Linked DNA regions of Alligator mississippiensis. The protein of the gene in region 2 interacts with the protein of the main gene of each other region in a pairwise test. Links are inferred from orthologs where the notes say so. Each region holds a gene or a part of one and is shown on either strand. Other genes may lie near its edges. The genes, in order: NR0B2 and RXRA.

Region 1 (3,908 bases), on a different chromosome or scaffold from region 2:
AAGCATATGGCAAGGGACTGATTTCCAGAAGTCAGTGGGAATTAAGGATGCTTAGCACCTCTGAAATTAGCCTCTACAACAGTCTGGGCCTCGGTCTACCTGTCTGTAAAATGGGGCTACTCTTCCTACTTTTGAGCTACTGGAATGAAAAGTGTGAAATGTTAACATTATGGATTAATGACATTAAGATAATCCTCCCCATTGCTCACGTGTGTATGTGCGTGCGTGCGCGCACACACACACACACACGTACACGCGTGCTTTCAAGCAGCCCAGACCAGATTCTCTGTGTAGTACCCTCTGCCCTGCTGAGAGCACTCACCAGGGTTGAAAAGAATGGCTCCTTTCAGGTAGGCATACTCCTTAGGGCTCAGGTCCAGGCTCCAGAACGTGTTCAGGCAGCACTGCAGCCGCTGCACCCCGGCTAGGGTGGGTTGTGTCCTCTCAAGCTCCTGCCTCTTGCTCTGGCCATTGAGGAGAATGTTCTTGAGCATGCTGGGGGCCGGGGTCTCCATCACGTCGAATGTCACCATCTCTTGAACCAACCCCAGAATGAAGAGAGGAGCCCAGCAACTGTCCAGCAGGAGGAGCTGGTCCTCCCGGGGCAGCAGCTGGAAGGAGGGCAGGTTCTTCATGAAGCTGACTGTTTTCACCAGGACATCAGAGGCCGCCTGGCAGGTGACCTGGGGTGTCTGGAGGCAGACGGTGCGACGCTTCTGGCACCGGCAGCGCTGCTGGGATGGGCTATGATTGTGGTTCAGGTTTTGGCTCAGGAGGGTATAGAGGATGGCGTTCCGGTTCTCTTCGCTGTGGCACTGGCATCTCTCATAGTCCACGTCCATGCTGCCTGCACTCAGAGCTCTGCCCACCAAGCAGATCCCACTGACTCTGAAGGAGGAGGTGATCTGGGTGCACTTGACAGGCTGAGTCTGTGAGCACAACCGCGAACTCCTGTGCCCGTCAAAGCTCTCCGACTGCAGCCTCTTCCACTGAGCTCAGCTGCCTCAACCCTCTGGCTGCTACGCTCAGTGGTATTTATAAGGCGCTGGCGGTGAGTGGAACACCCCCTTCCACCCTTGACCTCTCTTTGACAAAGCAGCATTCATTAAAAAACAAGTTGACTCTCGCCTGATTGGCTGGGGAAGCGAGTTCTTCATGTGGCGTCAAGAAGTGTTTTCTCAATGAAAGTGCCAGCCAGGGCCAGGAGGACGGGACAGAATGGCAGGCTGGGCAGCTGGCTTATCTCGGTTGTCCAAACAGGATAAACAATGTCGATAACCCAGCCTGTACCATGGTACCAAGGCCCCGATGCGTAATCAGGCAGTACTGTATGACAGGTGTCATTGCCAAGGAGCGCGCACATGCACACACAGCACTTGTCTGGAGCAGGAGCCCGGTGGCAAACAACCTGTAGGCTCTGGCCTTGGAAAGAGCAACCTGGAAGTCATGTTATCAGCAGGTTGTTTGTCTAACCTTGTTGACAGCAGGCTGCTGTCGTTACAGATAACGAAAAGAAACCCAACGGACTGAGGGCATCTGGTTCTCGGATCAAGGCTGGGACCTGGGGTACCTGGTGTCAGAAAAACACGGGGGGGTTTGAGAATCAGATTTCATTAAACCAACATCTCGAGAGAGCCTCTCCCTTCCCTTCTCTTGGTGGTGGATGGTTCCTTCTCGGCCTGGAGGGAGGTGGGCAGTGGGGTCCCGCAGGGTTCGGTCCTCAGACCGGTATTATTTAATATCTTCATCAGCGATTTGGATGAGGGCGTGGAGAGCACCCTCTCCAAGTTTGCTGATGATACCAAGTTATGGGGCAAAGTTAGTACACCGGAGGGGAGGGAGCAGATTCAGGCTGACCTGGACAGGTTGGAGCAATGGGCAGAGAGAAATAGGATGCAATTTAATAAAAATAAATGTAAGGTGCTCCACCTGGGAAGGAGGAACCCCCAGCACACCTGTAGGTTGGGGAGTGTCCTTCTCAGCAGCTCGGAGGCAGAGAGGGATCTTGGAGTCGTAATCGACTCCAAGATGAACGTGAGCCGGCAGTGTAACGAGGCCATCCACAAGGCCAGTCGCACCTTGTCGTGCATTAGCAGGTGCATGACTGACAGATCAAAGGAGGTGACGCTCCCCCTCTACGTGGCACTGGTCAGGCAGCAGTTGCAGTGCTGTGTCCAGTTTTGGGCGCCGCACTTCAGGAGGGACGCGGGGAATCTGGAGAGATCGAGAGGAGGCCACTCGCATGATTCGTGGCCTTCGGGAAAGACCCTACGGGGGAGGTCGAGAGAGCTGAATCTCTTCAGCCTTCACAAGGGACAGCTGAGGGGAGACCTTGTGGCCGCCTATAAATTTATTAGGAGAGGTCAACAGGGGATAGGGGAAGCGCTGTTTACTAGGGCGCCCCAGGGAGTGACTAGGAATAAGGGGTGTAAACTAGTTGAGAGTGGATTTAGGTTAGATATTAGGAAGACATTTTTCACAGTCAGGGTGGCCAGGATCTGGAACGGGATCCCAAGAGAGGTGGTGCTATCACCTAGCTTGGAGATCTTCACGAGGAGGATATAGTCACCTGGCTAGGGTCGTCTGCCCTCGGCCCTCTTTCCTGCCAGGGGCAGGGGTCGGACGTGATGATCCACTGTGGTCCCTTCCGACTCTGCAATCTATGAATCTATGGAACACGGGGGGGACACGGGACTGAGTCCGTGGCTCCCAGCCCCGCTGCCTGCAGCCCGTCTCCATCCTCTCCGTGCGTCGCCTTTCAGGTAGTTGAAGCCGCCATCGAATCCCGCTTCAGCCTTCTCTTCTGCCGGCCCACTGCTTTCAGCTGCTCTGGGCCGTGGCGTTCGCGTCGCAATGCGCCGCACCCCGCCGGATCTATCCCGCGCCGTCTTCTTGCGCTGCGGAGCCGCCCAGGCGGGAGAGCAAGGGAGGAATTGTGTGGGAGAAGGTGGGGGGGGTCCTTCCCCTCCCCACAACCCTGCGCTGCTAGGGGTGACCTCTCCCTCTGTGACCCCTGACCTCCAGGCAAGGCTGTGACCCCATCACTCGTGTCACCCCCTTCCCCCACGAATCCTTTCAACCATCCCTTTAAAGGCCTAACCCAGCCGCGACCCCTGCCCTCCGACGCCCAACGGGCCACGCGGAGCCTTCTGGAAGGCGCGAGACGGCGCCGGTCTCTATAGCAACCAGCGCCGCGCGCCTGTGCCGCGCTAAGCGCCCGCCCTCCTCCCCCCCCCGTCTGCGGATTGGGCGCGGCGGCGGCCAATCAACGAGGGGTCGCGGGAGGAATGCGGCGCGTTGATTGGTGGGGGAGCCCGTTTCCGCTTCCGGGCGAGGGGTCGCGGGCAGCGGTTGCGGGTCGCCATGGGGCTGAGCGCGGAGGAGGTAGCGGAGCAGGAGGACCGCTTCGATGGCATGCTCCTGGCCATGGCGCAGCAGCACCCGGGCGGCGTGCGGGAGGTAGCGCCGGGCGGCCGGGGGGCGGGGGTCTTCCTCTTCCTCCTGCAGCCTCTAGGCCGTGCCCCTCGCCTCGGCGCCTGATGCCCCTTTCCGCCCGTACTTAACCTCGACTCCCCTTGCTGCAGCGGGAGCCCCCCGCTCCTTGCGCGTGTGCGGACAGTCCGGCTTCGCGCCCGTCGTGGGACGAGCGCCGGCGTGTCTCGAGGGGACTTGCTGGTTTTGCCAGCTGCTTCTACAGGCGTCGAGTGACGCAGTCTCAGCCCCGCCGCCGCCGCCAAACACGTCGTTTTCACGGGCTCTCAGAAGCACGAAGCACCGACTCCGGCGGAGCGAGTAAAGCAGAGGCTCCCGACCGCTAGGTCGCGGCGGGTCGGCTGCCGCGCTGGAGGTCCGGAAGCGACCGGCGTACCGTGGAGCGGCAGCCAATCCTCTTTTTAGATTGAGCCTAA
Region 2 (3,908 bases):
GTCCTAAATGTCTCCTCCAGGAAAACCACTTAAGATCGAGCATGAGCAAATGACAGGGACCGTCGGGGCCCAGCGATGCCGTGGCACTCAGTCTCCATTAGGCTCGATTCCTCTTTTCCTTCTGGTGCCTGTTTATTTCGGTTCCCCTGGCCGTGTGTCTCGGCTTCCCAAAATAGCCACGGCTTTGCACTGAAACCCTGCCCGCGTCGGCCCGCTCGCTGCTCGTGCATTCCCGCAGCTTCACATCTTCCCCCAGCCTTGGCTTTGCTCTCATGGCACTATCTGGGCGGTGGCTGGCTCCAAAGCAATATTTGCCTCTATTCCTCCTGGTTTCCAGGAGCGTAGCAGCCTGTCTGCCCCGCTGAGCCCAGGGTTAACTCCATGCTGGGGGCAGGAATATGTCTGGGTTCACATGGCATTGGACTTGAACTCTGGAATAGGCAGGGGGGGAGATGGGGAGATGCAAGGATGCAGGAGAAAGGGAGCATGGCAAGCACCCTGGTGATTTCACAGCCTCACTATGCCCCATCGGGCCCAGCCATGGTCCCTGAATAGAGGCAACTGGTTTTCCTCCAGCACCCTGGTACTGCTCAACCTGGTCCCGTGCCATTGCAATGACCCAGTAGAAACAACTCAGATTGATTTAGGATGGGCTCTGCCGAGGGACCCCTTGCCCACTCCTATTGCCCCACATTATCCGCCCTCCCAGGCACGCACAAAATGTCCCCTAGTGTGTTAGCCCTAGAAATAAATCAGGCTAATACAAAAATAAAGGCGCCGGCAGGTGTTTGACTCCCAGAGAAGCTCTGAAATAAATAAACCAGCAGCGAGCGGCAGGTGGGAGCCAATTCCTTAATCTGCCCTTTCGCTAAACATGTACCCCGTAGCCAGCCAGCAACAGGTGGCAGGGCCCCGCCAGCCCTCCCAGCGCCTGCTATTTTTAAAACAGGCTTATCTCTTTATAGCTGGAGGTTTTTACATAATCTTCAATCGGCAGAGCCCAGCCCCTCCTCCACATCGCTCTCTCCTGCGGAGAAAAGGGAAGCAAGTGCAGCCGGGGAGCAAAGGGGGAAGCAGCGTAAAACGGCCATGAGCAGGGCAGAACAAAGTCCTGGAGAAGACCCCTGGCCTAAAGAAAGGTCCCCTGGCCATCTTACCACCATCGGAAAGGAGCTTACAATGCAGCACAGGGAGTACTGTACTACATGCAACCCATATTTTACCTGGGCCATAGGGCTTACTGCAGCAAAGGCGCAGTTTAGAGCAGCCTGGGGGCTGCTCCGGTTTGTACCAGGACAGAGAAGACCCTCAGCTTATCCCAGAATACAGAGTCATCTTTTCTCCTCTCCCCTGCTTCTTTGCTGCCCAAAGACAGGAAGCCCAGCAAAGCAGCCTGTGTCCGTGACCCTTTGAAGTGAAGCCCACCATTATAGACGGGGTCTGATCCTCCTCTCGTTTAAACAGGGAGTAACTCCACTGAAGTCCTGGGCCTTCCAGCAAGCAGAACGCAGAGGAAAGCCAGGCCGCCTGGTTTTTAATTCAGTCTCCTGTTGCCGCCTTGGTTCATTAGAGTCCTCCCAAAATTCGGGCGTGGAGCTGGGGTGTGACACAGCTGACTGCACACTTGTTACTGTGCAACTCGCACTCACAAGTACTAACTGACTGCACAGGAACTGGCCTACTGCACGGTGGCGTCCCCAAACAGCTTTTCGGTGATGCTGACTGCACATGAGCTCGTTACTACTGCACAATAAGTGTCTCTCTTTGTGCCACGTGATGCTACTGCACAGCAGTAACAAGCTCCTGCGCAGTCAGCGTCCCGTGTAGATGCAACCCCAAGGAGCTTTTACTAATGCTTGCAAGGACCTGAGAAAGGGATACCACTGGCATGGTATCGGGTCTCGCCACCCCTCCAGTTTTGCGGGTGGAGGTAAGATCGCTGCTCCTTTCCCTGAAAGAAACCTGCTGACCATTCCTGGGTTTTTTCCCCCTCTTGCTTATACATAAATCTTGTCTCCCCTGCCTTCCCTTTGCCGGCTTACCTGTGGGCTGCCGGTTCCAAACCCCAGGTTGGGGGTGGAGGGGACTGACATAGAGTGAGGTCCCATGGGGGAGCTGATGACGGAGAAAGGAGGGCCCATGCCATTGATGGGGGAGCTGAGGGTGCTAATGGGGGAGTGGAGCTGGCCCGCTGAGCCCAGCGGGGAGCCGATCCCCGGTCCGATGGATGGATGGAGGGAAGGTGCAGCCATGGGCCCCCGGCTGGTCGGGGAGTTCAGGGAGGTGGAATTGACTTGGTTGGAGAAATCTGCAAGACACAAAGCAAACGCCAGGGTTAAAACCCCCTCCACGATGGTCCAACGATGGCACTAAGGTGCCAGCCCCCATCCCCACTCCACTCCCCACACTCAGCCACCCCCAGCTTCCTCTCTCAGCACCTTCTCCAGTGCAAAAGTCAGTGCAGCCCCTACATCAGGCACCTTCCACCCCAGCTTGATATGGCATCAACTCTTAAAAGCCTCTGACAACGGCTGGGCAACTGGGAGAGCTGCATATGGCACAGTTATCACACCCATCTCCTTGTTCATGTGTGTACAGCCCCTAGCACAAGTCTGCTCCACGTCTGAGGCCTCTAGATGCCACCTTCCTAAGACGGAAAATAATCAGGACTTGATACGGGATCTTGAACCTAGGATGTGCTTCTGGATCTCTGTGTGGGGGTCTGAGTATAGTCCACGTGGGTTGCAGACTGTGTGGGCACGTTCACATGCGTGCTTGAGAGTGGCAGGGTGCATTTCTGCACCCCCGCAAAGGGAGAACGTGCGTTGTGTGTTTTACGCTTGCAGAGGGAAGCATTTGAGTGTCTTTGAGGGGGAGGTGAGGTGTTTGCAATCGGGAAAGAGCATCCCAGCTTGTGGTTTGTGTCCATGTGTCTGCCTGGGATGCATGTGCCTGCAGTGTATATTTGCAAAGGGAAAGCAGGGGGAGGAAGACGGGGGGTTGTGAGTGTTTCCCAAGTTGCGTGCATTATTTTTTGCAAGTGGGGAACTGTGTGTGTGTGTGTGTGTGTGTGTTCATGGCGAAGGGTACACGTGTGTGGGTTTGTGAGGAGGCAGCTGTGTGTCCACACTGGCTCCGGGGACAGAAGGATGCCCCGCTCCCTCTGCCTTGCTTCACGCGGCTTCAGGCCTCCGAACTGGAATTTGCTTTTGCGGAGGTGTTTTTTTGCAAGCGGCGACCGCCAGGCTGCGAACCTCCCGCCTGCCCCCCTAACTCCTTTGCAGGCCCAGGGTCGGGGGGGAGCAGGAGTTTAAAAATAGACTCCAGCTCTCTCTAGAGAGGAGACTCGGAGTCATTCCTGGCACATTTCCTCCTCATCCTGTCACGCTGCCTGAAAAACAACCCAAAGCACCGGGGAAGCAGGCTTCTATAATGGGCCTTTGCAAAGGCTGCCAAGAGGAATGGCAAGACTTTGGGGGCTCCAGGCTGCAGGGGAGGGCTTCGCCTGCCCCCATTCAGAGCTGTGCCGGGGTGGTGACAATTAAGGGGTCCTGACGCTTGTTCTCTCTCTCCTCGGTGCGTCCCACTGCTGTTGTCCCACTTTTGCAGCTGGCAAATCAGAGGCCTGAAATTCAGAAGTGACTATAGGCTGGCGGAGCCAGACCCATTTTGCAGGGCTTTGAAGTTAGCGGGGTCTTTCGGAAGGTGGCTTGCCTGAGGGTCGATGCACCGAACCCAGCAGCTCTCCGCCAGGCCCATATTCCCCTCTCCCCATAATACCTGCTCCATCGGGTTACCGCTGATTTACACCGGTGCTGTGTGATAGGGCCCTGCTTGAACAGCTTGGCAATGCACTGAGCCCAAATATGACCCCAGGAACAACAGGGCCATCCCTCCACCCTCGCAGG

What was found.
Region 1: the proteins of RXRA (region 2) and NR0B2 interact in a two-hybrid assay, tested with the Homo sapiens proteins (2 studies listed by BioGRID and IntAct). The link is inferred for Alligator mississippiensis from reciprocal best matches to the Homo sapiens genes RXRA and NR0B2.

Annotation. Positions count from the first base shown.
Region 1 is NC_081829.1:2,777,274-2,781,181, reverse strand, and holds the start of NR0B2 (nuclear receptor subfamily 0 group B member 2), read right to left. Parts: upstream 2,658-3,908; 5' UTR 2,570-2,657; intron 2,564-2,569; exon of another isoform or gene 1,571-2,563; 5' UTR 843-1,570; coding exon 323-842; intron 1-322. Other genes in the region: nuclear migration protein nudC, read left to right, coding at 3,364-3,459. UniProt on the Homo sapiens protein: Transcriptional regulator that acts as a negative regulator of receptor-dependent signaling pathways. Specifically inhibits transactivation of the nuclear receptor with which it interacts.
Region 2 is NC_081835.1:61,932,592-61,936,499, reverse strand, and holds the start of RXRA (retinoic acid receptor RXR-alpha), read right to left. Parts: upstream 2,253-3,908; coding exon 2,043-2,252; intron 1-2,042. UniProt on the Homo sapiens protein: Receptor for retinoic acid that acts as a transcription factor.